Linked DNA regions of Macaca fascicularis. The protein of the gene in region 6 purifies or fractionates together with the protein of the main gene of each other region. This does not show direct contact. Links are inferred from orthologs where the notes say so. Each region holds a gene or a part of one and is shown on either strand. Other genes may lie near its edges. The genes, in order: KRI1, DDX18, DDX24, LARP7, NOC4L, KRR1 and GNL2.

Region 1 (3,500 bases), on a different chromosome or scaffold from region 6:
TCCTCCCCAGCTGGCCGCCCCCACACTCACCCTCTTCTTTCGCTCCCGAGTCTCCTCCCTCTTCTCCTTCCTGCGCTCATCCTTACGGCGCACGGAGGACGCGATGCTGCGTGGGTAGGTCTTGACCTAGGGACAAGCAGAAAAGCCCAGAAGGGCCTCAGCGATGGTGTGGAGTTCCCTGGGCCTGGACCCCGGGGGCCGAGTCCTCCCCAGCCCCAGCCACACACCGATGTCGAGTCCGGCTCCTCGAAACGGAAATTGTACTTCTGTTCGAAGTCCTCCTGTTTCTTCAGAAACAGCTCCCCCTCGTCTGAGGAGTCATCCACAGCCAGCTGGACTGGGGGGCCGGGGACCCTGAGGAACAAGATGTGATGACGCCAGGGGGCCAGCCAAGCGAGGTCGAGCCCCCCTTTCCTGCACGTCTGGGTGCGAAGCGTACGAACTCATTTAATCCTCGCAAGAACCCTACAAGGTGCACGCTGCTATTGTCCTCATTTTACAGATGGGGAAACTGAGGCATGGAAGTCTCAAAGCAGAACCAGGATTTGTGGCAGTGCCACCTGGCTCCAGAGCCTACACTCTGTGGCTCTGCCTTGCAGACTAACTCTGCCACCCTCTGTGAAAAAAAATACACACACGGTGCCCTCTGCCTCCTGGCCAGTGCCGCCTGGGAATACGTCAGGAAGCGCACCCAAAATCTAGGCCCTGGGGAGAGGCAGTGGCTCACCCCTCCTCTTCCTCCTCCTTTGCCTCCTCATCTTCCTCCTCATCTTCCTCCTCCTCGTAGCGTTTGTTGAGGATGTAATCCCGCAGAAACCGCTCCCCTTCATCCAACTCAGGGTCGTTCCAGTATTCCTTGAGATGGGTCTGGGGGTGACAGGAGACAGGACTCTGGTCAATGAGGGACAGGGAAGGAGGGCAGGCATGGTCCCTCACAGCCAGCCTCTGGAGTAGGTGACATTAGCCCCATTTTGGTTTTTTATTTTTTTTTATTTCAAGACAGGGTCTTGCTCTGCTGTCCAGGTGAGAGTACAGTGGTGTGATCATAGCTCACTGCAGACTCCACCTCCCGGGCTCACAAGATCCTCCCACCTTAGCCTCCCAAGTGTCTGAGACTACAGGCGCGTGCCACCATGCCTGGCTAATTTTTTCATTTTTTTGTAGAGTGGTTTTGCTGTTGTTGCCTAGGCTGATCTCAAACTCCTGGCCTCAAGCAATCCTTCTGCTTTGACTTCCCAAAGCACTGGGATTACACGTGTGAATCACGGCGCCCACCCTATCCCCATTGAAAGAGATGTAGGAGCTGAGGCCCAGCGATGTGCACATCCCATCTTCAGAGGGTTATCTCTGTACATGGGTTGGATGGAGGCAGAACGGACGGTCTACTCCATCAGCGGCCATGCGTGAGAACTCACCAGTTCCTTCAGCGACTCTGGGTTCCCAATCTCTTTCTGCCCCTTCAGCCACTCGATGTAGTCGGCCTCCTCCTGGGCCTGGGGGAAAGCTAGCACTGAGCATCTGCAGATGCCCAACCACCCGCCGCCCTGTCCCCAGCAGTCCAGTGAGGCCCCGGTACACACCTTCTCCTGCCTGGTTTTGGCACGTTTCTGCAGCAAACTGGAGCCGCCCTCCCCAGCGCTGTCCTCGTCTTCACTGTCCTCCACAAATGCCCGGAAGCTGCCCACGAGAGAAAACAAGCCTCAGGACAGGCAGGCTGGCCCCTGTCTGCTGCCCCAACATTTATTTTGTAGAGCCGTGGTCTCACTATGTTGCCCAGGCTGGTCTTGAACTCCTGGGCTAAAGTGATCCTCCCTCCTCTGCCTCCCAAAGCCCTGGGATTACAGGCGAGAGCCACCTCACCCGGCCGGCTGCCCCAAAATTAATCCCATGTACTAAGCCCTGAGCTCTCCTTTCAACAAGCTCAGAGCAGTGCTGTGATGTTATTAACCCCGTTTAACTGATGAGGAAACTGAGGTACATAGAAAGTGACAGAGCTCAATTTGAACCCATGCCTATCCAACCCGAGCCTCAACTTTCCTCCATTGGGCCATTCCCACCCACCCAGCCTCACCTTTCCTTGAGCTGTTTCTGTTCCTCCACATAACTTTGCGATGATGTCTCCTGCAGAGAGGGCCATAGAGGTCTCAGGCCAGCCCTGGGCCCCTCAGCCCCCCACACCAGCCTCCACCCCACCCACCTGGAGTCTATGATTGGAAGTCTCCCCGTCTGAGTTCTCCTCGTCGACATATTTGCTGTAAAGGAAAAGTGGGGTCTTCAGAATGTATCTTCCAGGGCCCACCTGTCCCCGTGCCCATGTGGAGCGGCTCTTCCAAGCACCGGCTGGCGGGGGTCATCGGAGGGCTATGGAATCAGTGAGGCCCCTGCTCTCAGGGGTACCTGCGATTCTGGTGAGTTTCCAGCCTTTTTTTTTTCTTTTTTTTTTTATCTTTTCTTTTCCAATCATGGGTGACAGCATTTCTTTTTTGGAGCCAGAGTCTTGCTCTATCCCTCAGGCTGGAGTACAGTGGCATGATCTCGGTTCACTGCAACCTCCACCTCCCAGATTCAAGCGATTCTCCTGCCTCAGCCTCCCCAAGTAGCTGGGACTACAGGCGCCCGCCACCACATCTGGCTAATTTTTTTTTTTTTTTTTTTTGAGACGGAGTCTAGCTCTGTTGCCCAGGCTGGAGTGCAGTGGCCGGATCTCAGCTCACTGCAAGCCCCGCCTCCCGAGTTCACGCCATTCTCCTGCCTCAGCCTCCCGAGTAGCTGGGAGTACAGGCGCCCGCCACCTTGCCCGGCTAATTTTTTTTTGTATTTTAGTAGAGACGGGGTTTCACCGTGTTAGCCAGGATAGTCTCGATCTCCTGAACTCGTGATCCACCCGTCTCGGCCTCCCAAAGTGCTGGGATTACAGGCTTGAGCCACCGCGCCCGGCACATCTGGCTAATTTTTATATTTTTAGTAGAGACAGGCTTTTGCCATGTTGGCCAGGCTGGTCTCAAACTCCTGACCTCAGGTGATCTGCCCACCTCAGCCTCCCAAGGTGCTGGTATTACAGGCATAAGCCACCATGCCCGGCCTTTTTTCTTTTTGAGACAGGGTCTTATTCTGTTGCCCAGGCTGGAGTGTAGTGGCCTGATCATAGCTCACTGCAGCCTCCATCTCCTGGGCTCAATCCTCCCGCCTCAGCCTCCTGAGTAGCTGGGACTCCAGGTACACATCATCACGCCCAGCTAATTTTTAATTTTTTTGTAGAGGCGGGATATGTTGCCCAGGCTGATCTCAAACTTCTGTCCTCAAGCGATCCTATTGCCTCAGCCTACCAGAGTGCTGGGATTATGGACATGAACCACCACGCCCAGCCCAAGTTGCCAGCTTTTTTCCTCCCTGCCCCTAAGACCCCCATAGACCTGACAGGACTGGGAACCAGCGGGGGGGGATGTAGGCCTTCTCCATACCCTGCCTTCTCCAAGATAACCTTCCTCTCGTAGTCCTTC
Region 2 (3,500 bases), on a different chromosome or scaffold from region 6:
ATTCCAGGCCCAAATGGATTCCACTGGTGAATTATATTGAACATTTAAGAAAGAAACATCAATTATTCACAAACTCTCTAATAAAGAGATTTATTATAATTTATTATACTTATTATATAATTATAATTTATTATTATATTTATATGTCAACTCATTCTTTGAAGTCAGTCATTACACTATTCAAAAACCTGACATGACATTAACAAGGAAAGAAAACTATGCACCAATACAATTTGTGAGCACATACGCAAAATTCGAAATAGAATTTTAGTAAAGTGAATTCAGCAACATATAAAAAGGATAATGGATCATGACTAGGCAGGTTTATTCTACAAATGCAGGGTGGTTCAACATTTGAAAAATCAACCAATACAATTTACTATGTTAACTAAAGAAAAAACATGATTACTTCAGCAGACAGAAAAAAAAATCTGATCATCTATTTCTGATTAAAAATCCTCAGCAAACTAGGAACAGAAGGGATCTTCCTTAATCTGATAAAAGGCATCTATATAAAACCTACAGCTAAATTCATATGTAGTTAACGGTAAAAGACTGAATGCTTTCCCCTAAGATCAGAACCAAGACAAGGATGTCTGCTCTCATCACTTCTATTCAGTACCATACTGGAGGTTCTGGCCAGGGCAATCAGATAAGAAAATAAATAAATAAATAAACAAAGAGGTGAAACTGTCTTTATCTGTACATGATTGCCTATATAGAAAATCCAAAAGGCTACAGTCATCTGGAAAGTCATACTGAATATTCATTCAGTACAGGATTAACTGTCTTGCTAGATATAAGATCAATATAAAATTCAACTGTGTGTGTATATATATGTGTGTGTGTGTGTATGTGTACATATATTAAAGCAACGAGCAATTGGAATTTGAAATTTTAATGAAATACTTGGGGATAAATCTGACAAAAGATGTGACTAAACCTGTATCCTAACCTCCCCCCAAATATTATAGAGAAACAAAATATCTAATACATGGAGATATACCTTATTATGAGTTAATATTGTTTTCCTCCAATAATCTCTATTCAATAAAATCTCAATCAAGATCCAAGACTTTTTTGGAGGGAAGGGGGAGAAACTGACAAACCAATTCTAAAATTTATATAGAAATGCACAAAGGACAAGAATACCACAACTTTAAAAGAGAACAAACTTGGGGCTAACATTACCTGATGATCAAGACTTAACAGGAGGAACTGGAGCTTTCTTGCACTGCTCATAGGAATGTTAAATGGTACAGCCGCTTTGGAAAACATCTGGCAGTTTTTTAAAAAGTTAAACATATACTAAATATATACCAACTATGATACTCCTAGGTTTACTTAAGAGAAAAGGAGACATATGCCTCTATAGGGACGAGGTATGTGTGTAAGGAGGGGTGCGAGGGAGAAACTGAAAAGGGGCAGGAGGAAACCTTTGAGTGGGATAGACATGTTCATTTTCTTGATTGCAGTGATGGTGTCACAGTGGAACATAAAATTGTACATTATAAATGCACATATAATTATGTCAATTATACTTTGATAAAACTTTAAAAAATAAATTATACAATGAAGGAAACCGTGGTCTTAGTTATAACCAGTTCATAATGTTGCAAGTACTGTAACCAAGGTATGTACAAGTAAGGCAACAAACCTATGGCTACTTGGGGGATGTTACATGAGGTAAGAATGGGCAAGAGGCGCAGGACAGGACCTATGTGAAGACTGTTTAACATGCATTATAACTTCTAGAACAGCAAAACTACTATATCAAGTTATTAATCAATTTGATGCTTGTATTCCAAACTAACTTTCAGGTTAACTGGCACAACTACCTCACTTGGCTATGGTAAAGTTCTGGCATTAGCAGAGTTTTTCTATAGGAACAACTCTTATCTACTTCCAACAGATACTTTGCAAACCAAATGCAGATGCTACCTACTTACTTGGCAAAAGTTTAATAATTTGCTTTAATTCTTCTTCAAATCCAACATCCAAGATACGATCAGCTTCATCAATAACCAGACACTGAAGGTTTTTATACATAAACCCTGGGGTATTCTAACAAAACAAAGGACAAAGAACAACTATTAGTTGTCAGTCTATGTTTCATATAAGACAATGAGACAAGCACTACATCTCTTACCTGCATATGGTCCAACAGACGGCCTGGTGTGGCCACAATGATGTTGATCCCATTAGCGAGTTTCTGTGCTTCAGCAGATCTGTTACTGCCACCCATTATCAAGCCATAGGTATGCACGTGGTGAGTCATTAGCTCCTTAAGAACACCAAAAGTTTGCATGGCTAGTTCTCTGGTAGGTGAGAGAATAAGGACTCCCGTTCCTAAAAATAATACATATGGTAAAAGTCTAAACGTGGTTGTCACCATTGAGTCCGTAACAGCTACAATAAACCTCTAGTGAAATAATGGCAGAAACAAGCAGACAAAAGCTTACCATTCCTGGGCATGAACTTTAACTTGACAATGAGTTCAACTGCAGGGATGAGAAAAGCCAAGGTTTTACCACTGCCTGTTTTTGCAGCTGCTAGAAGATCCCTAAATATTAAAAAGGGAAAGGAGAAAGACATTGAGCCTACTCATTTACGATGTACTACACACACACACACTTTAGGCACTAAGGCTAGAACATGAACAAGATGATGTCTACTTCGCTGAAACTGATCACCTGGGTTATATACCGAAATCATAAGTCAGAACTGTGCTACAACAGAAGTGAACATCTTTCCAACACTTTCCTTCAAACATCAGTAATTAACTTAGTCTTTCATGTATGCTGGATACATGACCCAACATATAGCAGAAAATCAACAGAATATACTGGTATGTTCTTTATAATCTACTAGTTCTAAAAGCAGATGCCAGTATCTAAGCTTCAGTGTTAATCATACCTGCCTTCCAGAAGTGGTCTGATACTTTTATGCTGAATTTCAGTCATGTTTGTAAAACCCATTTCTTTTATTGCCTTCAGAGTGTTTTCATTGACAAGATTACATAGAGAAGCAAACGAAGTATCCTCAAAAGCTCCTAAACAGAAGACAATGTATCATCAGCAAATTTATTTTTTTTTAAAAAAGTTAGTATCGCTACAGTTGCCTAAATCTATTTTGCCTAGAAAAGCTTCCCACAGTAAGAAAAGGCTAAACCTTAATTATTCATATCTGATAATACCAACAAAAAGATCCTTTATCTTTCAAGTTTCTCCATTGTTAATGGCTGTGTAAGTTATAGTCCAGAGTCCATACTGTAACAAAACGAGGGGTATAACTGAGGAATTTATATAAAATAAAAATACCAAGACAAGGAAAATAATTGAGAGTCCAGAGATAAATGAAATGCTTAAGAAATCTGATACAAAAAGTAAAAACATTGAACATTAATAAAAACTGAGTGTCAAGTCAATTTAAAAAAACACTGTTAATCTCACTCCAACAAGACACAGAAGAGTCAGATACAGCCACAGAATATTAGGCTG
Region 3 (4,236 bases), on a different chromosome or scaffold from region 6:
CACAGGCAGATTATACTTAGTGTAATTCTTAAAAGACCTAAGATTTTTAGAATGGTAAACACGCACTGGCTTCAATTTAAAGTCACTAGCTGCATTAGCCTCTAACAAAAGAGTGAGCTTGGCCTTTGAAGCCAGACATTGACCTCTCTAGCTATGAAAGTCCTTGATGGCATCTTCTTCCAATAGAAGGCTGTTCTGTCTACACTGAATACCTGCTGTTCAGTGGCCACCTTCATCAGTGATCTTACCTAGATCTTGGGGATAACTTGCTGCAGCTTCTCCATCAGCACTTGCTGCCTCATCTTACACTTTTATGTTTCTGGAGACAGCGTCTTTCCTTAAACCTCATGAAATAATCTCTTCTAGCTTCAAACTTCTATAGCTTCCTCACCTCTCTCAGGCATCACAGAACAGAAGAGAATCAGGGCCTTGCTTTGGATTCGGTTTTGGTTTTAGGGGATGTTGTAGCCGGTTTTATTTTCTATCCAAACTACTAAAATTTTCTCCAAATCGGCAATAAACAGTTCCACTTTCTTATCATTCATGTGTTCGTTAGCGTAAAATGTTTAATTTCCTTCAGTAGCTTTCCTTTGCATTCACAAACTGGCTAACTTTTTTGGTGAAACTTTCAGCCTAGCTTTCAGCCTATCTTGCCTTTTGACATGCCTTCCTCACTAAGCTTAACCATTTCTAGCTTTTGAGTTAAAGTGAGAGATGTGCGACTCTTTCTTTCACTTAAACAGTTAGAGGCCCATTGTAGGGTTATTAATTGACCTAATTTCAATACTGTTGTGTCTCAGGGAATAGAGTCCCAAGGAAAGGGAGAGAGAAGGGAGAACGGCCTGTCAGTGGATTAGTCTGAACACACACAACATTTATCAATTAAGTTTGTCGTCTTATATGGGCACAGTTCATGGCGGCCCCAAACAATTACAATACAAGGAACACTCATCACAGGTCACCCTTGTAGCAGAATACATCTCCCTACGATGGACGCGTACGTCCTCTTTCGGGAACGCCCCACTCCGTCTACGAAGTAGCCGCACTTTCGCCACTTTACTTAATAAACTTGCTTTTGCTTTGCTATGCGGACTCGCCCTGAATTATTTCTTGCGCAAGATCCAAGAACCCTCTGTTGGGGTCTGGATCGGGACCCCTTTCTGGTAACAAAACTACACCAAAAATAAAAGAAAACACGTTACTGTGAGGTACCTGACAAAGTCTCTAGTCGGAGGGAGCACACAGAACCTCACCTTCTGTGGCCTTTCCCTAAGCGGGGAGGAGCAGAGCTGGAAGAGGAGGGGCCAGCGCCCCAAGCCAGCTCTCCCATCAGCACAGCTTTGGTCCGCGAGGCAGCCAATCAGATAGCTGAGTTTGCCATAGGGGTGGGACTTCCTCCGCAGCGCGCACGAGTACGTGTGTGGAGGTCCCGCCCCGGAACTGCGGTTGCTTCTGCAGCTGAGGTACAGCGGCGGTTTCTGAGGCTCCTGACCGGCGACCAACGGAGCTGCCGTGGCGTCTTCACACGGTGAGTACCAAAACGAGCGGGGCTGGAGCGGACCCTGGAGAGGGGCTGAGGCCAGGAACCCGGGTTCCTATTCGCAGGTCTCTCTGGGCCGGTGGGTTCCCGGGTCCAGAGAGGGCGCCCGCAGGCCCAAGCCGTCCAACCGAGCTGCGTGCCATGGTCCCCGCGCCTTGGGCTCCTTGTCTGGGCATCAGGGCCTGACGGCCTCGGCTTCTCGGTTTCGTGCGCGCGTTCGTGCCTGAGACAAAGCGAGAGCGCCGCGCGAGACCGGCGTCACGAGGAAACAGAGGCCCTTCTACTCTGCCTGACGCTCCCCGTGTCCTCGCCCGGTTCCTCGCGTGGCACCCCCCGCCCTCTCCTCGCTGAACCCCGCGTGTTTTTTTTGCCATGGCGCAGCGGGTCCGGCGGGCACCGTGTGCGAACGTGCTCTTCTCGCCGGGCGCCATGCTCAGCGGTTTTTGACGTGCGTCACTTTTTCGTAGTGGCGTATAACGATTCTGTGGGACAAATGTCCTCGTTATTCCCATTATGCAGACGGGGAAATAGAGACTCAGAGATGGATACGTCCACCGCAGAGCCACAGCTGACGAGTGGTGGATCCGGATTTGAACCAAGATTTACCTTGGTCTTTTTCACGGAACGTGTTGTCTTCCTTCGGCTTTCTGAAAAGGAAAAACCTGGATCGAGTTCCACCCAAACGAGTTGGGCCTAAATGGCCTTTAAGCCACTTAAAATATGATGAAAAAGCTGGATGGGTTTTAAGACGCTTGGCAAAGGAAGGGATGGTAGAGCAGGCATTTGCTCTCTCAGGCAAGGCTTGAGAAGGAAGCAAGCGCAATACGCTTTTAATAAAGCTCACCCCTCCTGCCCCCACAAGAAAAACCCCTCAGATTCTTACTCTGCCTTCAGAACGGCTTATGTGTGGCAGGCTTCATCCTCCGTGCTTTACATAATTTCCTTTATTTACACAAAATATACAACTTAGATATTGTTAGGTACTCTTCCCCCTTTTTATAGATGAGAGCACTGAAGTTCAGAGAGGAGTGGGTGGCACTATCCAAGGTCACACACGCAGTAAGTGTTGAATTTGGAATTCAAACCAGGTCTAGCTCATACGTCTTTGTTCCATCACATGTGTACCCTGTGTTTCGGGCAAAGCTGTCTGTTCTGTGGTATTTCCTTCTTTGTTCTTCTCTAGGTAGGAGCAACTGTGTGATAGCCGTCTTTGTATCCTCAGTTCTTTGTAGGGCCTAGTTGCTTAGAAAATATTTGTTGCATCAGAACCCTCTGCTTCTCAGACACCAACCTAATAGAACATGTATCTCCTTTTCAGCAACCATGAAGTTGAAGGACACAAAATCAAGGCCAAAGGCATCAAACTATGGCAAATTTCAGACAAAGGGAATCAAAGTTGTGGGAAAATGGAAGGAAGTGAAGATTGACCCAAATATGTTTGCAGATGGACAGATGGATGATTTGGTATGCTTTGAGGAATTGACAGATTACCAGTTGGTCTCTCCTGCCAAGAATCCCTCGAGTCTCTTCTCAAAGGAGGCACCCAAGAGAAAGGCACAAGCTGTTTCAGAAGAAGAGGAGGAGGGAGAGTCTAGCTCACCAAAGAAAAAGATGAAGTTGAAGAAAAGTAAAAATGTAGCAACTGAAGGAACTAGTACCCAGAAAGAGGTTGAAGTCAAAGATTCTGAGCTGGAGGCCCAGGGAGATGGCATGGTTTGTGATGATCCGGAGGCTGGAGAGAAGACATCAGAAAACCTGGTCCAAACTGCTCCAAAAAAGAAGAAAAATAAAGGGAAAAAAGGTTTGGAGCCTTCTCAGAGCACTGCTGTTAAGGTGCCCAAAAAAGTGAAGACATGGATTCCTGAAGTTCATGATCAGAAGGCAGATGTGTCAGCTTGGAAGGACCTGTTTGTTCCCAGGCCGGTTCTCCGAGCACTCAGCTTTCTAGGCTTCTCTGCACCCACACCGATCCAAGCCCTGACCTTGGCACCTGCCATCCGTGACAGACTGGACATCCTTGGGGCTGCTGAGACAGGTAAGGGCAACTCCGGCCAAGGCAGGATTGCTTCTGGATTGAGCCCATAGCTACTAATAAGCCAGATAATTGGGAGAGAGAAGAATGTTGAGAACATAACCACAAAAGCAACGCTGAATAAAGGTGTTTAGAAGTCAGCCCCCTCTGGTTTGAAATATGCTTTTCCTGAATGGTACCCTAGCCATCACTTTTATCTCTCTCAGCTCTGTAGACCCCATTATCAACCAAATGGAGATAACAGTTTCTACCTCTTGCATTGCTGTGAGAGTTAAATGCTACAGTAAGCTAAAGCTTACACTGTACATTGGAAGTGGTCTGCAAATGGTAGTTTCTCCTGTTCTTGAGCCTTTTCTGAATGACTCATAGGGGTAAGGTAAGGCTAAGATCAGCCCTCTGGAGAGGTCGATCTTCATAAGTATAAGGAAGAACTGTCTAATTCTCAGGAGTTGTGCAAAGGTGAAAAGGGTTGCTGCTTTGGGAGTTGATGAATTTCTTGTCATTGGAAGGATTTGAGTATGATGGATAGTCATTGGGTGGATTTTGTAAACAGATTCAGCTATGACGTGACTGTTAGGACTAGGCTGTGTGAGGTTCCTGCAAGACTTTTGGAAGCAACGACAGGTTGGCTTTGCTGGATAACTAGACTACTGACTTGGGGGAG
Region 4 (3,500 bases), on a different chromosome or scaffold from region 6:
TAAAGCTTATCGTTGCTATAGGAAACACTATGCATAAAGTCTCTCCATCTTATCTGTGGAGCTTCCTATCTTTAGAAACTACATTCTAAATATGTTGTGGTTTTACCATTACGATAATCTTTCTATAATCATTTACCACCAAACTACAAGACATAGCAGCCAGAAATCAAGATTGTTAAAGTATCACTAGTTAAAAAGAAAAACTCTAAATTATAATTATGTATCCTTGTGAGAAAAATAATTTCACACATTTTGAAATCTAGAGAAATGACTTTTTCCTCCCAACCTAAAACATAGTATATACTCAGTAAATCTTTGTTAGGTAATAGCAAAGCTAAGATCATTTTATGACTACCTATACTGACTTTGGCATTAAATGTTCAAAGAAAGTTTAGTCTAAAAAAACAAAAATGAATTAATTACCTTTTCAGTGCCTCTTTTCTTTTCCCGAGGCTGATTAAGTTTTGCCTGTCGATCAACCAAAATCTTCTGCCAATACCTTTGTTCGTGATCACCTTAAAAACAAACAAAAACTCTGATGGATGAAAAGAAGAACACATCTGAAAAACCATATTCAAGGCATTACATTCTCAGTAACAGAACTAGGACAGTTTTTGATTATATTTAATGCCACTTTATACATATTACAGAATAGAAATAAAATTATTAGTTTCGTTAGGTGCGGTGGCTGAAACCTCTAATCCCAGCACTCTGGGAGGACAAGGAGGCAGGATCACCAGAGGTCAGGAGTTCGACAACAGCCTGGCCAACATAGCAAAACCCCATCTCTACTAAAAATTGCCTGGTGCAGTGGCTCATGCCTGTAATCCCAGCACTTCAGGGGGCCAAGGCAAGCAGACCACCTGAGGTCGGGAGTTCAAGACAAGACCAGGCTGACCAACATGGAGAAACCCCGTCTCTACCAAAAACATAAAATTAGCTGGGCAAGGTGGCACATGCCTGTAATCCCAGCTAACCTGGGAGGCTGAGGCAGGAGAATCACTTGAAGCCAGGAGGCAGAGGTTGCACTGAGCTGAGATTATACCATTGCACTCCAGCCTGGGCAACAAGAGCGAAACTCTGTCTCAAAAAATAAAATAAAAATATAAAAATTAGCCAGGCGTGGTAACACACGCCTGTAATCCCAAGTACTCAGGAGGCTGAGGCAGGAGAATCACTTGAACCTGGGAGGTGGAGGTTGCGTTGAGTTGAGATCACACCACTGCACTCCAGCCTGAGCGACAGAGTGAGACCAAAAAAAAAAAAACAACAACAAAAAACAAACAAACAAAAAACAAAACTAGTTTCATTAGCCAAACTCAGAAAATGTTACCCACAATAAGGATGGTTACAAAAAAAAAAAACACTTCTATGAAGTTTTACCAGAAAGGATCTCGAGTTTCCAGCAGTGTTTCTTGCTAATTTCTGTATATGCATTTATTACTGCTTGAGCATCCCCAGGAGTTTTAAATCTAGCATGGCATTCTGTATCCCCTTCAAGCAAATCAACATAAAGAACTTCTGAGATTGCTGCCAAAGTATCCTGCATCAGAATTAAGTAGAAAGACAAATAAAATTTAAAATGTTTCACAATAATTCTAAAACTATTCCAATGGTTATGCCAGAATATATTATGTAAATAAAGCATTTTGCAGACTAATGAGGAGCAAATATCCTATATCAAACATTTCTTGTAAAGCATGTTCTTAAAAATAGATTTGAATAATATCAACTCTAACAATTTATTTTCCTTTATTTTCTTGAAATCACATCCGTAAAATCTGAACTAGAATGGGAATATTCTATAAGGACAACAGATTTGTAGAGCAGAAAGCAGAAATAGTGTCCCCCAATCCCCAAATCAGGAAGGGTTCACATCTGGGAGTAGTTAGTATAAGGAATAAAATTAAAAAAAAAAAAAAAAGGATTAAGGGAGGTTTGTTTTTACTCACCTGCAGAAAATCACTATGACTTTAAAATATGTGTACAAATCACTCAACTTTTAATAACAACTCATGAAAAACAGTTTTACTGAACCTAAGATACTAGGTTTCCAAATTGTTCAAGAGCTCTTACTTTCTGAAAAAAATACCTAAGCAACCTCTTCTAAACAAGTTGTGGTCACCCAGCAAGGAAAAGTTTTACCTACACTGCCTGCTGTGAGGGCAAATTAACCAGATTCCTGCATTCTTAATCAACTTTTTTTTTTTCCCTCACAGCAGGTTTTACAGAGTATACAATGCATTTATGCAGGAATGTTACACTAATTCCTAATTCATCAACTTCCATTCACAAAGCTAAAGAAATAACTGCAGATTCCTAAATGGGGGAAAAAAATCTTTCTTATCTTGCCTCACTTTAGTTTTAACCTACATTTTCAGGACACAACTAATTTAGATTATGTTCAAATGTTGAATTTTTAGATGTTTGATTTATGGAAAGAATTGAGCAATACCTGGGAGTATTATTTCATCATAGAATAAGACAAGTTTATCAGTTAACAATAAAAAATATATAATAAAATCTATGAATTTCTAGAAGCCAGGGACCAGATCTTAACTCATCCCAACACTCAGCAAACTAGCACAAAACAGGCATTTGGTAACTGTTTGCCAAATTAAAAAAAAAAAAAAGAACTGCAGAGACATATACTTGCTAGTCCTTCCCACTTCTTTATCTAATTAATTAGTACCAAATTTAGATATAAAGCAAGTAAAAAATTCAGTATTGTTGAAATTTGAATGCATTCAGTACTAGTAATGAGTTTTATAACTGACTTCTGAGCATATTCAATTACTACAACTCAAAAGATATTTACTAAATATCCATTATAATGTCAGGCTAATCTCTTGATTTAAAACCCTCAGAATTTAAAACCCATAGAAGGACAAATTAGCCTAGTAATCACATGGGCAAGTCACAGACAGCTGTAACCACCATCACAGCTCAGTTTTTGTTTCAGCAAAATGTAAGTAACTACTAACTGGATTAATGCAGGGATTGATTTTATGATTTTGATGATCATAAATGATGAATTTGTAATTGATATAGTTACCATTTAAATAATAAAAGTTATTTAATGAGTGATTACAAATAACTGAGTAATTTTTTTTATTAAATGTTTTGCAATCTGATTAACCAGAGCGGTATTTACATCCCTCAATTTTCAGCTGTCTCCTGAAATGCAAGTTGGTAATAGCAATTTGGATTTGGCCAAATCCTTCACCAATATTGGAAAGAGAATCAAAATTTGTTTCTTAGTGACAGCTATAGGATTGTAGGACAGCATTTCAGATAAGGAGTGCTTACAGATAAACAACCACCTCAATGATATTCAAGTTAAAACCTGTGACTGATGAGTCTATGTGAAACCAAAACAATATACTAAGTGATGATGAATGTCAGTATAAGAAAATACTTAAAATATGTGGTATGTTACAGAGCATTTCACACTTTTTAAAAAGAAAAGGATTGACTTAAATGGGTCACAGGCAGGGTAA
Region 5 (4,229 bases), about 57 Mb from region 6:
CAGGGAGCCCCTCACAACCAGGCCCAGAGCTGAGAAAAGGGCGTCCTGGCCTTCTCTTGTTCCACACGCCACCAGATGGCACTCCGGGCTTCCGTGTCCCACCCACGACATGGGCATGACAAGATCTTGAGTTAAAGAAATCCAGTGCTCACGAGAGAGTCTGGCCAGGGAAAGGCACACAGCCCAGGTCTGCTTTATGGCCACCTGACTGCTCTCTCATCACTTGTATCACAGGAATGCCACCATAACCCTTGGGCACAGCTGTGAAAACAGGGGTGTGACGCCAGCATGCTGCCCAACTCAGATTCAGGCTCAGAAGCTCTCATCTCAGGGTGGCAAACTCAGTACTTTCAGGTCCCAGGCAGATGACACCACAAAGCAAAAGAGCCACGTGTGGGATGACAGGAGCAGGCGCCTGTCTCAGAGCTGTCCCTGACTCTCCCTCCAGCCAATCACAGCCATGAACAAACTTAGACCCCAGTGTTGACAGAACTGATTAGTTCTTTGTGAAAAGCAGGATGCTGGTTATTTTCATGTAGTATCTCCCCAGCTTTTAGAAGTCTGCAACTCGACTATAACTAGAGACAGATGCGTCGGCAAAGACGTGGAGTATGGAACACTCATACTCTGCCAGCGGGAGTGTAAGATGGCGCAGCTACTGTGGAAAACAGTCTTGCAGTTCCTCAGACGTTAGAAACAGAACTGCCGTGTGGCCCTGTAATTCCACTGATGAGGCACATTCAAGCAAAACAAACATGTTCACACAAAAGTTTGTACACAAACGTTCACAGTCCACTGTTCTTAACAGCCACAGGTGGAAACGACCCAAATACCCAGCAACGCACGCGCAGCTGACGGGTGCGTGCTGCACGACGGGACGCCGCTCAGCCGCAGGGAGGAACCAGCCTCTGAACACACCGACAAGTGGAAGGCACATACCACATGCTCCCCCTTGTGATGAGCGTCTAGAGAAAGCAAACCCACTGACCCAGAAACTAAATGAGTGGGTGTCTGGGGGTTGGTGTGGAACAGGGTGGGATATGGCAGTGATGTTAACTGGTACAGGATTTCTTTTTGGGGCGATGAAGATGTTCTGGGATAGTGGTAACCACTGTACAACTGTGAACACAGTAACAAACGCTAACTTGTCAATTTTAAATGGTAAACTGTGCATCACTTATTCCTCAATACAGATTTTAAAAAAGCTCACAATGCATTCCCATGGCTGCAGACCACAGTGTGGGCTGAGCAAACACAGCTGTGGACTGGCACGAGGCTTGATGTGTGTGCTCTACGCAACAGAGATGCCCGTCGATGCCTCTGGAGGTGAACACGGGTTGTGCCTCTTCAATATTCAGTACAGGACTCGATAGCCATGTTTGTAAACGGGGCTGAACGCCCACAAGGTGACGATCCCATGAGCCAAAGAAAGGAAGCAGCTTTCCCTGGACAATTGTGGGAGCCCCAGACCTCTGATTTGTGGATAGCCTGGGAGTGGCAGTGCAGGGGATGGACACAGATGAGTGCGGCCCAATGACCCACCTTGACCTGAAAGGAGGGGTGGCCCAGAAGCTCTCCCAAGCGGTTGCCGCAGCTGTGATAGCGATGTCTCATCCATACTTTGTACTTCCGTGCGGCTCCCCGGGACCCTGCAGACAGGTTAAGGCGGTCAGTGATAGCGGTGTCTCCTCCACACCTTGTACTTCCGTGCGGCTCCCCGGCACCCTGCAGACAGGTTAGGGGGCTCAGCCCACATATGCCACTTTGGGCCCCGCCCAAAGTCTCAGGCCTGGCTCCACCCTCCCCCTGTCTTCTACTCAGCCTCCACAGGTGGAAACAGGTCACTATGGCCCCCAGACCTGTGCTGGGACCTGCGGGTTCCCTGAGCCCTGCAAACAGGAAGAGCAGCTCCTACCCCAGGACTGCCTCAGGCAAGCTGCCAGGGGCAGGATCCACATCTCCTCACTTTACTCCAAGACCCCACGTCCCCAGAATGGGGACATAAAGGAAGTTCCGAGTTTAAGTGACCATGTCAAGATCAATCAACATAAAATTACAAAATGGGTGCAAAGCACAAAGACAAAAAGTCGTACCTTGTCCAGCGTTCATCTAAACGCAGCTATATAGTATCCATGTCACCCCTGCATCCATCCTCCGCGGGGGCTTGGTGTGTCCTCCCACCAGCCTGCACGGTCTGTGACAGGTTTGGGGGCGCTCATCCCACGGTGACAAACCTCCCTCCGACCCACGGAAAGAGAAGAGCAGCCCCGGGGCCCTCCAGGGCTCACCTGTCATGACCATCTCCTCAGAAGGCAGCTGGCCCACAAACAGCTCTCCCCGCTCCAGCAAGGCCCCAAAAAGACGGCTGCACGTGCGGACTGCTTCCTGGATCTCCTCCTGGTCCTCAGACTGCAGGAGAGGCGGCGGCAGGGTGCCCAGCCGGGAACTGTCACCTTCGCCCCTGCCTCGGCCGCCCCCCACCCCTGCTCTCTTCCCCCTCGGGACGCCAGCCCCGTCACCCCCGACCCGTGATCCACACGCCTCCCTCCCTGACCCTCCAACGCCGTCCCTGAACCTCCTAGGGCCCTGCCGCCGCAGCCCCCCGTTCAAGTCCCGCTCCCGGGCCGCGACCCCGGCCCTGCGACGCCGCCGGGCCCACCTGCAGCACGGCCAGGATGTCGAACACGGCGTTGGCCTCACTCCGACTCGCCAGTACCGCCTCCAGCCTGCGGCCCAGCGCCCGGCGAACGCCCGCGGCGCCCGGCTCCCGCTCCATGCCGCCGCCAACACGGCAAAACGCGGTACCCAGCCGCCGGCGCTCCCTTGACGTCACCACTGCGCGTAGAGTCTGACGTCATCTCTACGCGCCGCACCCAAACCCCGTCTTTCGCGCCGAGCCCGAGTCCCAGGCGTGCCGCCGACGTCATCGCCGCGCGTCGAGCCCGAGCCCCAGGCGTGCCGCTGGCCATGTCGCTATTCTACGTCGCGCGGTACCAGGGCCCCGAGGCGGCAGCTGCGGCGGGGCGGGAGGGCGCGGAGGCCGGGGCCCACGGCCGGGCCCGCGCGCTGCTCGAGCGGCTGCAGAGCCGGGCCCGCGAACGGCAGCAGCAGCGGGAGCCCGCGCCGACCGAGGCGGCTGCACCGACCGAGCCGGCGACCAGGAAGCGACGGCGGCCCCGGCGGCGGCGGCGGGTGAACGGCGCGGAGTCGGGCAGCCCGGAGGCGCGGCAGGGAAAGCGACGGAAGGCGGACGGCGAGGACGCGGGCGCAGGTGAGTCGTGGGGCGAGCGGGCTCCCTCCGGGGCGCCGGCGACTCGGTGCTGACGCGCTGCCGGGTGGGTGTCTGCCTCGCAGAAAGCAGCGAGGATGCGCCGGGGGAGCCCAGCTCAGGGAGCAGCGAGGATGCGCCAGGGGAGCCCAGCTCAGGGAGCAGCGAGGATGCGCCGGGGGAGCGCAGCGCCAGCGCCGAGGCGGCCCCAGACGGACGGGCCCTGGAGGAGGCGGCCGGACCCCTGGTCCCCGGCCTGGTGCTGGGGGGGTTCGGGAGGAGGAAGGCGCCGAAGGTGAGCGGCGGCTGTCGGAAGGGTGGTCGGCGTGGGAGGGGAGGCTGCGCAGATTCTTAAGTGTGGCGGTCGCCCCGGAAGGCATCGTTGAGCGAATGCTCCCGGGTCACAGACGCGCCTCACTGCCAGGCCTGCAGTTTGTCTGGATCCTGCATGTGCGGAGCTCCCGTTTTTTCTGCTAGGCTTGCCCCTGCCATCCCGTCGCGCCGCGCCAGTTCTCCTGCAGGATGTGCTTGCGTGAACGTGCGGGGGGGGGGGTCTCCTGCTGTGCGCTCACCGCCTCAGGAGCAAGTCAGAGGCCATTCCGCAAGCCCCTGGCCCTTGGTGTTTTTGCTTAGCACGGGTGGTTTTCGGTAGAGATCTCTGGTGAGACAGGTGAAGAAAAGGAGAAGTTTGGCAGAGTGCTTGGGCACCTTAGGTAGGGCGGGGTGGAGAAGGTTTTCTTTGAGCTGGGATGCGAAGACTTGAAGCCAGGTCAAAGTTGAGGGTTGGGGATGCCAGGCAGAGGCCTCGAGGCAGGGACGCCGGCGTGGCTGGGGCAGGCGAGCACCAGGTCACAGGGCCTCCTGGCTGCGGAAGGGTGGGTGCCACTGTGGGTTGATGGGAGACTACAGGTGAGTTTGCTCAGTGAGTGGTGTCTACTTTTGCTGTTGAACTTCTGTCAAG
Region 6 (3,500 bases):
AAAGGATTCTGTAGCTAAAAGAAGTATGATAATCACTGGTAGTCACATAGAATTATCACTCACTTTAATGTTATAAATTGGATGAATATTCTTCATAGTATCTAGGACTACTTTTCTAACCTGAAATTTGCAAAGAAAAATGAATTAGTCACAAGGATTTTAATGAGCTATGGAGGAGAGGATAAATACTGCAAAATATCTAATCAGGTAATGGGTATCAAATTAAATAATTTAATTAAATAATTAGATCTTTCATAGAGGCAGTCAAACCTCCCTTGAATACAATACAGTTTCTCAATTACTGCTAAAATGTAGCACAGAGAACTAATACAACACTGTATAGCAACGTGATTTAGGAAGAAGAGGGCTGGAATACAAGGACTGCCATTGCATACAGGAAGGTCACTTTCCTGTTCCAGCTTTCTCATTTGTAATATAAAGATAAAATCATATACCTCAAGACTCTATTGTAAGAATTAAATATTTTAAAGACTTTATAAAACTAAAGTATTCAATATACTTAATTATTGCTCCATGAGAAAAGAGCAGACAATTTATGACAAAAAGGGCCAATAGGATTACTATTAAAGGCCCTGGAAAGGAAGCACAACCTCACAAGCCAGATCCAGACAGTAATAGTACCAAAAGGAGTTAAAAGAAATAGCATTTGCTCCACAGATTTTCTCACATTTAATTTAAAAAGTTAAAGAAAATGTTCATGAAAAGTTATTAAACATTATACTAAAATTCAAACAAAAGAAAACATATCTTGAAGAAAAGTTTTCAGAGTGTGACCTCTACTGGCTGTATACACTACTGCAAATAACTGGAGTTTTGCTCAATTTTCGCATCATTTGGGCATATGTGACTATTCCACGTTTTTCGTCTGTGCTACAGACTGAAGATCTTAAATGCTCATTTAAATGTTATAGCGGAGGAGTAATAGTGTGCGGACCTTCTAATTCAGAAATGCATGTCTCCTTAGTTGCCAAGGTTGGCCAAAACATGTTAGGGTCCAGAAATGATGATTCCCTTGAATTATATGACATAAAAAGTATTTACTAATGGGAAATCAAAGCACATTCTAAAAAAATAAAATTATAAAGCATTATCCAATAAACTATATTATAACCAAATTATTTGTTCTCTGCTGAAAATGAATTGAAGATAATACATAGTTCTCACCTCTTTTAAGCCACTAAAAGGTCCAATGGCTGAAACTGTGTTTCCCTGAACCATAATGTAACAATTAGTTAAGAGTTCCAATGCCTGTATCAAGAGATCAGGTTAAAATTCATTACTCTGAAAAATTATTAAGGGAGAGACTCAAGTTTTCCACTAATAAAAAAATACCTTCAATGTAGATCCTTTGGGACCAATAAGCCGTTGTCTTCGTTTTACAAATCTCTCTTTATTCCTTACTAAAGAACCTATTTTAATGATGTCACATGCAACATCATCCTGAAGAATTCGTACTGCCTTTTGCAAAAAAAAAAAAAAAAAAAAAAAACAGACATTATCAACATTTTTTACAATTACATTTATTTTCCAAGCCCATGCTATTGTTATCTAAGCACAAATACGAAAACTTGATGGTGGAAGGCGGAAAAGATGGGATGTTATAGGTTAACACTGATGCAAACAAAGCAAAGTCTCTGTAATTTTAGATTTACCTGTTCAAATGAAACACTCCTTGCTAACAGTTTTATCAGATCTCTTGCCCTAATGATGATATATGGATCAAAAGTCTTCTTTGTAGTACAGACAGTCATGCTGCCTTCGATCAGGTCCAGGGTTGCATTAACATGCTACAAAAGGAAAGAGCAAACAAGCAGTTGTCTAAAAATGAGTTTATTTTTAGATAAATATAAAGCCTATCCTAACCAACCTATTAATTTCTGTCACCTCTCAATTCCTATCAATTACTTCCCTGAAGAAGCTAGGTAGTTAAGTATAAATAATGAATACTCAATTACTTTCACACTTTACAGACTATAAGAAACTGGAGCAATTGAAACCATTTACACTTGGTTTTAGAATACTTTGTACCCACTGGAATATAGATTGCCTCTAATTTTAAAATTATAAATGAAACAAATGGGGTCATACTTAAAATCTGACTAAGATAAAAATGTAAAGCTGTACAGCTTCCCTATTCTGGACCCAGCTCCAGTCTACCATCTGCTCCATTGGGTAAGAATTGACTTTCCCTTTCAAACTTTTTTCCTAGCTAATTAGGGGACTAAATACTAAGTAAAAGCAAATTAACATAGTTTCAGAAAAAAGCAACGATTAGAAAACTTAAGCATTAACTTTCAACAGGAAAAAACAGATTTCAACAAAGCAAATTAAAATGCTATTTTCTCACTTGTGAGCATAATCTCAAGAATATTTCAACATAGTTAAGTGTTGAACAATTCAATATATGGTTGGGTCGCTATGAGTTTACAAAAAAAAAAAAGAGCTCAATCCCAGACGCAGCTATAAAACACAACCTGCAGCTTGCTGAGCCACCTTCACCCACAATGGCACAACCAACTCCAGAGCAGTCCCACAGTGAGAAACACATTTTATATCACAACCTAATAAATGTACACACACACACACACACACACACAACTAAGCCAATATGAAAAAAACATACTTTTACCATGGATATGCCGTTTTCTAAAGGCTCCTTATAGCCATTAAATTGACTTCTCAATACACTAATGGGTTTCAATACCCAGTTTGGGGAAAAAAAAAAAATGCAGTTATCTAGGGGCACAGCATCAGCATAAACAAGGAAAAGTTGGATACATCCACATCTTCCATTTAAGATGAAAAGTAATCCATTTAGAAACATGACTCAGCTCAGACTGGGACAGACACATGACAACTCTCATGGCCTGGAGCAGGCATTCTGAAATTGAGACTTCACAGGTGAATTTCAGACAGTTGTGAAGCTCCTAAAATATTAAAGGTATGCAAATTTTTCAAAGTAATTTATTACTCATAAAATTTAAAACAAATGAACATTAGGTAAGAAGAAAATGTACCTAAATAGTTTAAAATACCAAAGGAACCAAAGTAACCAGCACCATTGCTATGTTAGCACCATTAAAAAAAAAATGCATCTGCATACATACACTTAAAGGCATAAGCAAGAGCAAAGTCTCAAATAAATGTATTATTATAAGATACACATACATGTTCATTCAAGGCTTTCTGCACCAATGGCCAACACTCTTTCAAGTAAGCTTCTCTGTATTTTGGGAACAAAGTTGAGAAACTGCTCTCCTCCAAAAGTCCTCTGGGATTGTCCTCTTTGGAAAAAGCTGGTTCCTTCCAGCCATCGGGAACAGTAAGGAGTTCTGATTCATCTACAGAAAGGAAAAAATTGACACATCACATTTTAACTGTCTTTTGGACACTTTATGAACATCCTATGCACATATTCATAAGCCTTCCAGTACTTCTTGCATTTCCTTTTCCCCGCTTTTTATATTATTCAAGAGTCG
Region 7 (3,500 bases), on a different chromosome or scaffold from region 6:
AGCAGACAAACATCAGACTCTTTCTTTGTTCTGTGTGAAACTCATTCCATTCAACCCAGATTGAATCCTTACCGTACTTCAAACTTCAGCAACTGACAGCCAATGAGACCAGCACCCCTTCCTTCAGCTGAGAAGAAATCTCAAGGATCTTACAAAAGCTGAACGTACCCAACACCAAAGTTCTACCAACTCAATCCTAATTCTACGCTGTCCCAATGTTTGATGGAATTACCACTTAAAACAAGTTTGCCTACCAAAATAAATAATAATAAATAATATTACTAATATCTGTTATCAATTTAGCTCTTATTAGGTGGTGTGCTATGTGCTTACTACGGACCAAGTGCTTTACAGACGTTTCATCTGTAGCCAATAACCCAAGGAGGTGGGTTATCTATACTTTCTTTTTCTTTTTAGACAGTTTCGCTCCTGTTGCCCAGGCTGGAGTGCAATGGCACGATCTTGGTTCACTGCAATCTCCGCCTCCCAGGTTCAAGCAATTCTCCTGCCTCAGCCTCCCGAGTAGCTGAGATTACAGGCATGCACCACCATGCCTGGCTAATTTTGTATTTTTAGTAGAGATGGGGTTTCCTCTTATTGGTCAGGCTGGTCTCAAACTCCTCACCTCAAGTGATCTGCCCGCCTGGGCCTCCCAATTTACAGGTGTGAGCCACTGCGCCCAGCCTATTTATACTTTCAAAGCAAAGAAGTTCAAGTTCATAGAGAAACCCAACTAAGGGTACAGGAATGGATAGAGCAAGGATTAAAATTCAGGTCTCAACTCCAAAACCTGTGCTTTGATCCACTACACTACCATACTTCATACTAAACGTGAAAAGATGAAAACAGAGGTCTTAGGAAGTTCATCATTGCTACACTGAAATTGCTATTTTCTAAGAAAAACAAAAGACAAATATGTTAGAGAGGGAGCTGCAAGGAGTCTGCCCAGGAAATTCCATCGCCAGGGATATCCTACATCTTACATGAGGCCGGATTCGATCATGGAGAAGAGACATTGGTAACTTGCTTTGCTTCATGACAACTTTGTATGGATCCTTCATAACTGTATCCATTTCCTCTTGAAATTTTTGTAATGATGACTGCTTAATCACACGTGTGTTTCCTGTTTTACAAATAAAGAATGTTGCCACTTAATACATATTTGCACATTCATCTTCCACTGACACGGTGAAAGGCAAGATTTTAAATTACCCTCACTCACCCAAGTACCTGATCCATCCATCCCTTGGAGCTATTTCCAAACTTAAAAGAGGAAAAAAACCCAAAAAACTGCCTCTCCTGCACTTGCACACTATGAACTATTCCACCAACCCAGACCCACAAAAGGTTTCAATAGTTTTCCAAGCCGTTTCCTGACTAAATGAAACTGAGAAATAAATAGCGTGGAATGGAACTGAGATCTGACAAATGTCCTACTTCCTGCTAGATCTGGCAGAGAAACTTGGAGCCAATCACAGCTGATCAGTCAGTATAGACAGAGAATCTTGAAACACTGAAACCTGAGTCATAGTTACCACTTTTAGGGTTATGAGGATCCAAAGGGACCTCAATTGGTTAATCAATTGGTTAATGATTCATTAACCAATGAATCCATGCAAGGGAACAAGACAGAGCCCTGCTTGTTCCACCTGGAAAACACCTTGTGAGGGAGATCCTGAAAAGCATTCAATTAAACAGCATGCTGCAGCATGAATGCAAAACAGCAAGGTGGTAATGATGGTAGCAAGGAATGCTTATATTATACTCACTATTTGCTAGGTACTATTCTAAGCACTTTATATGTATTTACTTTTTTTTTTTTTGAGACAGAGTCTTACTCTGTCACCCAGGCTGGAGTGCAGCGGCACAATCTCAGCTCACTGCAACCTCTGCCTCCCAGGCTCAAGGGATTCTCCTGCCTCAGCCTCCCAAGTAGCTGGGATTACAGGTGCCCACCACAATGCCTGGCTAATTTTTGTATATTCAGTAGAGATGGGGGTTTCACCGTGTTGGCCAGGCTGGTCTCGAACTCCTGACCTCAAGTGAATCACCAGCCTTGGCCTCCCAAAATGCTGGGATTACAGGCATGAGCCACTGTGCCTTGCTTGTATTTACTCATTTGATTACCACGACAGTCCTGTGAGATAGGTTTCATCTTATTCTCTGTTAGGGATGAGAAAACTGATGAACAGACAGACTTAATAACTTGCACATAAATGACAGAACTAGAATTCAAACCCAGGCAGTCTAATCTGGAGTCACAGTACCCGGCAGCCATGCTAAATGCTTCTCTGCAGAGTTTTCTTTGACACCTTTCTGTGTTGCAGCTCCTAGGAAGTATCCTACCAAAAGTATAAGAGACTCAAAGGTAGCTGCCATCTGCCCCCAAGGACAGAGGTCAAACACCAAGCAAACACTGGGGTCTGATCATCTAAAGTGCCCATACATTACCAGTGGCTAAGGGCAAAGTTAAAAGCCCAGACTGAAATGGAACAGGGAGTTTCCCAAGGAAGAAGCCGTGATCACCCTGTGACTGAAGATACTCTATTCACTGTTGGAAGGTTCAACAGTGAGACCCTTTAATTGTCACCCAAGTTCAAATAAAAACTCCATTAAGAAGTGTTTCAGAGGAACTCTGGGCTAATGCACTTACCCTGAAGGATATATGCACAAACACCTACAAGGCCACCTCTCAAACAGTATCTCTCCAGGCAAGCATAAAAGATCAAGATGAGCATTCTAAGGTCTGTGAATGCTAGTCATTAAGGACGGTCTTATCTGCTTAAGAGGGTTCAATTACAATTACTAATGGTGAGCGCTCTTCAAAAAGAAGTTATTTATTAAATCTACCACCACTACTTTTCCCAGTACTTTTTCTTATCCCTTTCTCAGATAATCCTTGACAGTTCCACTCACCAAAAACTCCTATCGTTTAGATATTTAAACATCCTAGCCGTTTCCATTCAGCATACATTTTGTAGAGCAAAGTAGCAGGGGATAATACTCACCAAACCATTTAATATTTGGCTCTACTCTTGCTACTGTGCCAGAAGCCACCGTTGACTGATATTGCAGGGGTTTAATTATTTTACCACGACTGTTCCTAAATTGAGGAAAGAACAGATATTGGTTGACAACAGAAGAATGGCAACAGCAAAGTTTGATTTACAGAATATATTTTCCATCAAAAGGACTTCTTACTTTGGTTTTAAATGATCATGAAATACCAATTCCAGTAAACACAAAGTACTTCTACATTTGAAACAGATTGCCCAAAAGCCATTTAACCTCTTGCAACAGAGCACGTAATGATTTCTGCTAGATGAATAACAACGGTGACGTTTTAAAAAATCTGTTTACTGTTTACTTTAAAAAAAAAAAAACACATACTTGAGTTTTTTGGGTAACTATTCGAAGGCTGTTTTAGATGAATTGTTCAAGTAGAGGGTGATTTACGCTGGGATTCCAAATTCTAAAACAAACTGCAAAGTAGATGACTA

Evidence for each region.
Region 1: the proteins of KRR1 (region 6) and KRI1 purify together in Homo sapiens (affinity purification with mass spectrometry; 3 studies listed by BioGRID and IntAct, with this or other methods). This does not show direct contact. The link is inferred for Macaca fascicularis from reciprocal best matches to the Homo sapiens genes KRR1 and KRI1.
Region 2: the proteins of KRR1 (region 6) and DDX18 purify together in Homo sapiens (affinity purification with mass spectrometry; 3 studies listed by BioGRID and IntAct, with this or other methods). This does not show direct contact. The link is inferred for Macaca fascicularis from reciprocal best matches to the Homo sapiens genes KRR1 and DDX18.
Region 3: the proteins of KRR1 (region 6) and DDX24 purify together in Homo sapiens (affinity purification with mass spectrometry; 3 studies listed by BioGRID and IntAct, with this or other methods). This does not show direct contact. The link is inferred for Macaca fascicularis from reciprocal best matches to the Homo sapiens genes KRR1 and DDX24.
Region 4: the proteins of KRR1 (region 6) and LARP7 purify together in Homo sapiens (affinity purification with mass spectrometry; 4 studies listed by BioGRID and IntAct, with this or other methods). This does not show direct contact. The link is inferred for Macaca fascicularis from reciprocal best matches to the Homo sapiens genes KRR1 and LARP7.
Region 5: the proteins of KRR1 (region 6) and NOC4L purify together in Homo sapiens (co-immunoprecipitation; 3 studies listed by BioGRID and IntAct, with this or other methods). This does not show direct contact. The link is inferred for Macaca fascicularis from reciprocal best matches to the Homo sapiens genes KRR1 and NOC4L.
Region 7: the proteins of KRR1 (region 6) and GNL2 purify together in Homo sapiens (affinity purification with mass spectrometry; 3 studies listed by BioGRID and IntAct, with this or other methods). This does not show direct contact. The link is inferred for Macaca fascicularis from reciprocal best matches to the Homo sapiens genes KRR1 and GNL2.

Annotation. Positions count from the first base shown.
Region 1 is NC_088393.1:11,113,419-11,116,918, forward strand, and holds part of KRI1 (protein KRI1 homolog), read right to left. Parts: coding exon 3,462-3,500; intron 2,409-3,461; exon of another isoform or gene 2,253-2,408; coding exon 2,198-2,252; exon of another isoform or gene 2,128-2,197; intron 2,122-2,127; coding exon 2,072-2,121; intron 1,678-2,071; coding exon 1,581-1,677; intron 1,494-1,580; coding exon 1,416-1,493; intron 868-1,415; coding exon 728-867; intron 355-727; coding exon 228-354; intron 127-227; coding exon 31-126; intron 1-30.
Region 2 is NC_088386.1:13,953,883-13,957,382, forward strand, and holds part of DDX18 (ATP-dependent RNA helicase DDX18), read right to left. Parts: intron 3,053-3,500; coding exon 2,917-3,052; intron 2,564-2,916; coding exon 2,463-2,563; intron 2,350-2,462; coding exon 2,150-2,349; intron 2,065-2,149; coding exon 1,950-2,064; intron 1-1,949. UniProt on the Homo sapiens protein: ATP-dependent RNA helicase that plays a role in the regulation of R-loop homeostasis in both endogenous R-loop-prone regions and at sites of DNA damage.
Region 3 is NC_088381.1:162,094,328-162,098,563, reverse strand, and holds the start of DDX24 (ATP-dependent RNA helicase DDX24), read left to right. Parts: upstream 1-1,436; 5' UTR 1,437-1,528; intron 1,529-2,858; 5' UTR 2,859-2,863; coding exon 2,864-3,575; intron 3,576-4,236. UniProt on the Homo sapiens protein: ATP-dependent RNA helicase that plays a role in various aspects of RNA metabolism including pre-mRNA splicing and is thereby involved in different biological processes such as cell cycle regulation or innate immunity.
Region 4 is NC_088379.1:118,157,164-118,160,663, reverse strand, and holds part of LARP7 (la-related protein 7), read right to left. Parts: intron 1,544-3,500; coding exon 1,384-1,543; intron 516-1,383; coding exon 424-515; intron 1-423. UniProt on the Homo sapiens protein: RNA-binding protein that specifically binds distinct small nuclear RNA (snRNAs) and regulates their processing and function.
Region 5 is NC_088385.1:139,266,718-139,270,946, reverse strand, and holds the start of NOC4L (nucleolar complex protein 4 homolog), read right to left. Parts: upstream 2,801-4,229; 5' UTR 2,777-2,800; coding exon 2,660-2,776; intron 2,410-2,659; coding exon 2,289-2,409; intron 1,650-2,288; coding exon 1,543-1,649; intron 1-1,542. Other genes in the region: ATP-dependent RNA helicase DDX51, read left to right, coding at 2,968-3,271, 3,355-3,563.
Region 6 is NC_088385.1:82,341,901-82,345,400, forward strand, and holds part of KRR1 (KRR1 small subunit processome component homolog), read right to left. Parts: intron 3,363-3,500; coding exon 3,190-3,362; intron 1,809-3,189; coding exon 1,674-1,808; intron 1,480-1,673; coding exon 1,354-1,479; intron 1,270-1,353; coding exon 1,186-1,269; intron 121-1,185; coding exon 64-120; intron 1-63. UniProt on the Homo sapiens protein: Part of the small subunit (SSU) processome, first precursor of the small eukaryotic ribosomal subunit.
Region 7 is NC_088375.1:197,333,389-197,336,888, reverse strand, and holds part of GNL2 (nucleolar GTP-binding protein 2), read right to left. Parts: intron 3,104-3,500; coding exon 3,009-3,103; intron 1,124-3,008; coding exon 984-1,123; intron 1-983. UniProt on the Homo sapiens protein: GTPase that associates with pre-60S ribosomal subunits in the nucleolus and is required for their nuclear export and maturation.